Linked DNA regions of Tribolium castaneum. The protein of the gene in region 2 interacts with the protein of the main gene of each other region in a pairwise test. Links are inferred from orthologs where the notes say so. Each region holds a gene or a part of one and is shown on either strand. Other genes may lie near its edges.

Region 1 (3,064 bases), on a different chromosome or scaffold from region 2:
GTTTTGGGGCTACCCACAATTCTTCTTTTAAGTAATGGTTGTTTCGATATTTTTATATTTTTTATTAGAAAGAAGTGCACAAAAGTTCTAAAAAAAATGCATATACGTAGAGAAAAACGTTAATTATTCAATGACAAACGTTGATTACTTTGCAACTGTTAGTTTTTGAGATATAGTAAAAAATACTTTTAGCAGACTCAGCTTGTATAAAAAACTACAAACTTTCTGTCCGCTTCAAATAATTAATGAATACGGTTAAAGACAATGTATTAATAACGCAGTTGTAGAAAATATAAATAAATTTGACAAATATGCCGAAATTAAATTAAATAAAAAGCCTGAAAATAAAAAAATCGTAATTTTCACCGGAATCGAATTTGAATAGAAATTGGTATTTTGTATTTTTGACACAACCAAAAAAAAAAAACTAACGAATTGTTAAAACCGTTAAATAATAAAGAAATGGCTCCAGGGACTTTTTGGAAGAAAATTTGATTCTCTACTCCTGTTTACTGTTCCTTTAACCGTATCACAAGGCTTTAGGTACTATTAAATAGTTTAGGCTCGAAATATTTTTGTATTTACTACTAATTTTTTGACTTTTTAAAGGTTGTTTCGCCTCCTAGTTTTAGTCCTCCGTAATAATTTTAAGGATAAAATTTATTTTGTTGCTGCTGCTTGGCTTGACTTTATTTATTTATCATATTTTTATATTGTAAAACAATAAACATACCCAAGGAATCAGTTTTTGAATGACATCCATATTTATTAAGTTCTATGATACAAATGTATGAAATATTAAATACTTTGCGTAACGTAACATGAACATTGGAATGAATCAAACTGACAAAACCAGCCGTGAATAAAATTTAGAGAAACAGCAAAATTATAACTTAAAAACGTATTATTAAAGACTAGAAATATAGTGTGATAATTTACTGTTATTTTTTATTTTTTAACGCATTTGCCAGCCATTCCATCGCCATATCCAAGCCCTCACCTTTCGTAGCTGATGTTTTGAATATTTGAAACGTTCTATTTTTTAGTGCTTCGAGGCCGAGCGCTTGGTGAACTTCTTTTAACGACATGCAACCTGGAATGTCTTGTTTGTTGGCCAAGACGACCAAAATTGCATCTCCTAATTCCTCCTCCTACAAAAAAAATTAAAACATTACCTACCAGAAAAACAAAATTAGTACCCTAAGCATGTGAAACAGCTCATCTTTGGAAATTCCCATTCGTTCTTTATCGGCCGAATCCACCACATAAATAATTGCATCTGTATTACTATAATAACACCTCCAATACGGCCTGAAACCCACACAAATTGCCACGCGCTTAATTAATAAATAATAAACCTCGCACTCACCTTATACTCGTCTGACCGCCCAAATCCCAGACTTGGAAATTAAGATTTTTGTATTGTACTTGTTCAACGTTGAACCCAATGGTTGGAATAGTCGTAACTACTTCACCTACTTGTAATCTATACAAAATGGTAGTTTTACCGGCTCCGTCCAAGCCCAGAATCAAGATCCGCATCTCTCGAGCCCCCAAAAGGCTTTTAAAATAACTAAATAAAACTCCTGCAAATGTTTAGATAACCTCCAAGTCACTTTCATCGCTCGAAAACAGCCAAATCGCTCACCCATTGCTTTCAAATTAAGTGTAACGTGCAATTAATTAGATCGTTGTAACAAATCACTAATTCATTTTTTAACTTAGTTCAAAATAAAAAGTTAAAGCCTCAAATTTTCACCGACCTGACGTGTCGTAAACATAAACTGGCGAGCTGTCAAATGTGCAGGCTGGCCAACTGCTACGTAACGCAACACAACGTAAAAAAACAGCTAATTTTCAATTATTATGGCTGTTAACCACATGTTTGCGTAATTATCGCAATTACTGTCGTTACACTTAATTTAATAATAACGGGGTAATTGGATAATTATTGAAAACTGTACAGTTGACGTGGGGGAATCCCGTAACCTATCAGGTGTTACGATTGGTAGCGCTTTTTTCATTTCAAATAATAATAAATCTTAATTCTTTTCTCTCGAATTAAACACAATAGAAGAGCAGCAAATCTCACGAGAAAGTAAAATTAATGACACAAATAAGCCACATAAATTCCATTTCAAAGCTTTAAAAAAATAACAACAGCTCATTTGCATTTTTTGACGCAAATAGGTCACAAATTAGGTGTTCTGGTTTAAAGAATTCTCTCTAACTGCCGCCACAAAACCATGAAATACGTAAGAAAAGTAAGTATGAAAAGTTGTAGTAACAGATTTTTATGGAATTTAAAATGCAGATATTTTGGAAGATAAAGATTAAAATCCAATTAATGCAACAACCGTCAATAAAAATGCTGTAAAAAAAACTCGTTCGTGAAAGACGTCTGTTTTGCAATAAAAATGATAAACAAACTTTTAAACGTGAATACAGATGCAAAAACATAGTTTCCTATAAAACAGATCGCACTACCACACTAAATTGTGGTCAATGAATTTTTACAACAGAGCAATTAATTACATCTTTAAATTGATTTGGAAGTATTCTGAACTATTTTTATAACAAAAAATCTTCGAAAGAACAGAAAAAATAAACTATCGACTAACTAAAAAATAACTATCGACAACTCTGTACTAAAATTGATGAATATTTTTTTTTCTTCAAATTGGTGCTACGGCCATCAAAAAGTTACGCTATTTTTTTAGGCTATGCAAAGCTTTGTCAAATTAAATTTATTTTTAATAAGTTATCGTGCAATGTATTTTGTGAATTTGTGCTGCCAAAACGAATGAAATAGCTAGTATTTGTATACTAAGGGAGACACCGAAGATAAATCATCTACCTAAGGGAGAGAAAAAGCTTTCCTCCAGTGGTGTACACATGATTTTTCCCGTCCTCTTCATCAGAAAATATCTTTCACCTTCAAAATATTTAGTAACATGAATGTTATTTTCTCCCGACGTACACTTTCATAAGATATTTGGAAGGTAAAAAATGATATTTTCTGATGGGGTAGACAAAAAAATGTTTTTTTGTTGGTAACGTTTTA
Region 2 (4,305 bases):
AGTCGACAGTTCCTCATTTTCCGAACGCACGGTTTCCAAAATTTGGGTCAAATCGTGAATTTTGTTCTCCTTACTCGACATGACCGATTCCAAGTCAGAAATTTGCTTCTTACAAGCGATAATTTCAGCCTGTGTTGCTCCGACTTCGCTCTTCATCTCTTCCGCTCGTTCTTCTAAAAGCTTGTTCTGTTCGCGGACCGCATTTGTTGTGCTTTTCTGCGACTCGAGCTGGCTTTTCAACTTGTTGATTTCTTCTTGCTTCTTTTCCAATTTCTGGGACAACTCCTTGACACTCCTCTCGTAGTCTTGCATTTCCAGGTTAAGGACGGAGTTTTTCTTGCGTTCGATATTGGAATGTTCAAGGGAATTTTTCGTTTGTTGGTGGTACTCGCTCTCGGCCTTGAGCGCCTGTTCTTTGGCCTCCAAGTCCGAGGTGAGTTTGGCGATTTTGGCCTCGTATTCCTTCTTCAAAACCTTATTCGCTTCGAGTTCCTTTCTAAACGTCGAAACTTTGCCGCTTATTTGCTTCTTCCAGGCTTCAGTCGTGACTTTCTCTTGGTTTAACTCTTCCAATTCTTTCTTGAGTATGGTGATTATCTCCTCGTTTTCGCTCAGTTTTTGCTTATCTTTGGAAACTTCAGCAAGGGTCGAATCCAATCGGGCGGAATATTCCTTTATTTGTTTTTTGTTTTCGTCCAATTCGTCTTGTAATTTATCGCACTGGGCTTGCAAAGTTGCGATGGTTTTCACGTTACTGGCACATTTTTGCTGAATATCGTTCTTCTCGTTTTGCTCCTTCACCAATTCGTTGGACAAGTCACGAACTTTCCCTTTCAGTTTCACGGCCAAGTTTCGTAGTTTTCCGTATCTTTCCTCCCAAGACCCTTCCAGATCTTTCATTCTGTTTGATTCCTCCGTTCTTGAAATTGTCGACGTGGACATGCACTCGCTATCGGCGTAACTTGAATCAAGATTCGAGTTTAACCGTTCTTTCAAATTCTCAATTTCGTTTTTCAAATCACTGATTTCGGAGGTGTTTGAGTTTAAGTCACTCGTGGCTTTAAGTCGCTCGATTTCGTCTTCAAGTTTTTTAATTATTTCCTCCTTTTGGGATATGTTGTCAACGTTTTTGTTGGCTTGTGTCTCATACAATTGCAATTTTTTCATAACTTCTTCGCAGTGAGATTGCAATTTGGAAATAGTCTCTCCTCTTTCTTTCAGTGCTTGATTCATTTCGTTCATTTCGGCCAAAAGTTCGGAATTTTCTCTCTTCAAACCTGACACGACTTCTTCCAGTTCGCTGTTTGTTGAATCCTCAGTTTGGCATTCCACTTGTTTGCAGTTATCACGGGTGGTTTGCAATTTTCGGTTCATTTCCACCAACTGGGCATTTTCTTGAACTAGTTTAAGTATTTCTTCACTGGTTTTATCAGCAATTTGCCTCTCCGTTTCTTTTGAATGTTCAAGTGCTTCTTGAAGACTGTAATTCTTCTGCTTCGCATCATTTAGCTCCCTCAAGTTTAAATCTAGATCCTCCTCCAGCTTGGAGATGACTTTTCGGTATTCAATGCAAATTTTTTCATTTTCTTCGATTCTGTTCTTGATCTCAATTGTGTCTTTCTTGCTTTGGTCGTCAAAAACTTTGATTTCTTCCTGATGTCTTTCCTCCAATTGAGACAAATTCTCAAGCAGACTCTCCTTTTCAACAGTGAGCGTTTCAACAGTTTGCTGGTAGTCAAGTTGAAGTTGTAACAATCTTTGATTTTCTTCAATCAATTTCTTATGTTCTTTGGAAATTCTCTCAAACTCGCCAAGTTCTTTACTTTTCTCGTCGTCGGTTTTATGTGCCTCAAGTTGTTTCAGATATTTTGCATTACTTTCTTTCAAACCTTCAATTTCCTTGTGATATTCAGAGTTCTGTACTTTGATATCACTAATTTCTTGGCACAACTTTTTTGAAGCTACACCCAACTGTTCTTTCCATTCTTCCACTTGATGTGAGTACGTTTTGAGCAAACGCAAAACCTCGTTTTTATTTTCCTTCAAAACCTTCACATTACCGGCCAGTTTTACAACTTTTGAGTGATAAAATTTCAGTCTCCCTTTAAGTTTCTCAACCAACTCCACATTTTCTCTTGTTTCATTTTTGATTTTTTCTAAATCCTCGACCAATTTCAATTTTTCCTGCAACTCTTGGCCTATCGTTAAAATGTTCTTATCCTTCTCCCCCAGATTCGTCTTGAGCACGTCAATTTTCTCCCTCATTGTGTTATTCTCAGCTTGCAACTTCTTAACTTCCTCTAAACTAATACTAAGCATCTTCTGCAACTCTGCAGACTTATCACTTGTGTCATCACTCCGTAACTTTTGATTCGCCTCTTCCAACATCAGCAGCTGATTTTGCTGTTCAAGTCCCAGGTTTTTGCACTCTTCGAGTTGCTTTTCCAGAGACTCCAGATGCGTAATCAGCTGCTCATTTTCATCCGTCAAACGCTTGATTTGCCTTTTATACGAAATATTCTCGCTTTCAAGCCTATCCTTCTCCTCACACAGACGTGCGTCTTGCGTGCAGTTTTGCACTTTATTCACCAAAGCGGCATTTTGGCTCTTCAAGTCTTCAATCGTGGTAACAAACTGCAACTTCTGTTGGGTCAAATTTTCGATAATTGCAGTTGTGGCATCTCCAGATTCCGATTTTAGCCTATTTTTCAGCTCGTTATTTTCCTCCTGGAGCGCGTCCTTCGCCTGTTTGGCCTTCTGGGCGAGAATCAAAAGCCGTTCGCACCGTTTAACCAATTCCTCTTTCGATAAATTCTCCAAAACGATTTTCTTGCCACTTTCGGATGGCGTATTCGATTCCATCTCGATAGTTACTTAATCTATTGTATTGTAATTTCCAAGTAATTAGCAATTACATTGTATTTTAATAATTTTTTATTATTTTGACACATCAATAGTATTTTGACAGCAAAAGTCGCCAACAAAAAGCGGAAAAGTTACTGTTTTTTGGTAACATGTTCACGTCACTTCTGCCATAACCTCAATCTTTGGCTTTCCAAAAATGGATGATTGGCTCTCATTTTCAATTAATTTAACGCTTTAGATAAAACTAGCTTTGTTTTCGAAATTTCGTTGCTTTAGTGGCAACAATTGCGTCATTTTTGGTTGTAAAATCCTCTCGACATGGATTTTACCATGAACGAAGTTTCCGACGAGGATTTAGTAAAAAACCGAGATTTAGTTGATTTCGGTAGTAAAGAGACGCGTTTTAGGTGACCCAATGGATAAATAGCGCTGCAGTGTCCCGCTCTGCTGCAGAAAAGCTTGAATACTTCCACAAATTGCAAGAAGTTTTGATTCGGAAGTCGCCCCATTTGCTGCCAAAGTTTTTACAAAACATGCTTAATTTCACGACTGATAGGAATGGGGACGTGAAAAAAGCGCTAGTGGGTTTTATTGAAGAGTTATGGTAGGTTTTATGCATTTTAATTGGTTACTTAACTTTTGTTTTAGCAAAATGCGCGAGTCTCTTTTACCTAAAGTAATGCTAAACCTTCATATGCTACTATGTGATGAGTCAATAGCGGTGCAAAAGCGCGTAATTCAAGCTTTAATCAGTATTTATCGCAAAACGTTGGCCTGGTTATGCAAGGCTTCTGTAATTACAGAAGAAATGGAAAACGCCTGGAAGCAATTGTCTGCCATAAAATTAGAAATTGCAAATATGATTGATAGTGACAATGACGGCATTAGGACTAGTTCAGTGAAATTTTTAGAATGTGTTGTGTTGTTGCAAACTTATCCCGACCAGGAAGAGAACAAGAAACCGAACGACTTCTCACTCGATGATGTTCCTCTGACGTTAAAATTGGCGCGGAGGCGAAAACTAGAAGAGGAAGCAAAGTATTTATTTTTTTTTAAATTCGCAAATTTCTAATTGAATTTTTTAGTACCTTGTTTGAGTTACTTTTAAAATTTTTTGGCTCTCCCCATATTAGCAGTGCCAACTTGTTAACCTGCCTGGGCGTTGTTACAAACATTGCAAAAAATCGGGCCGAATTTATGTCTCGAGTTGTCTCAGCTATTGAATCACTTTACAATAACCTACCTCCAACTCTAACAACAACTCAAGTGAATTCCGTGCGTAAAAAATTAAAATCCGAACTCGCTGGACTTATCAAACACCCAGCGGCTTACGAATTTGTGGAGAAATTAACCCCAATGCTCACCGATTTAGGTGCGTTTTATTTTTACGCAAAAAAATTTTTTAGGATTTTTTTCTCAGGTTATTCCCAGCAAGACATT

What was found.
Region 1: the proteins of GRIP and coiled-coil domain-containing protein 2-like (region 2) and Arl1 interact in a two-hybrid assay, tested with the Drosophila melanogaster proteins (2 studies listed by BioGRID). The link is inferred for Tribolium castaneum from reciprocal best matches to the Drosophila melanogaster genes GCC185 and Arl1.

The regions. Positions count from the first base shown.
Region 1 is NC_087402.1:10,511,636-10,514,699, reverse strand, and holds Arl1 (ADP-ribosylation factor-like protein 1), read right to left. Parts: upstream 1,818-3,064; 5' UTR 1,653-1,817; coding exon 1,649-1,652; intron 1,587-1,648; coding exon 1,370-1,586; intron 1,312-1,369; coding exon 1,200-1,311; intron 1,152-1,199; coding exon 942-1,151; 3' UTR 742-941; downstream 1-741. UniProt on the Drosophila melanogaster protein: GTP-binding protein involved in protein trafficking; may modulate vesicle budding and uncoating within the Golgi apparatus.
Region 2 is NC_087398.1:8,154,380-8,158,684, forward strand, and holds the start of GRIP and coiled-coil domain-containing protein 2-like, read right to left. Parts: upstream 2,989-4,305; 5' UTR 2,863-2,988; coding exon 1-2,862. Other genes in the region: Sym (symplekin), read left to right, coding at 3,184-3,222, 3,273-3,469, 3,514-3,903, 3,951-4,237, 4,286-4,305.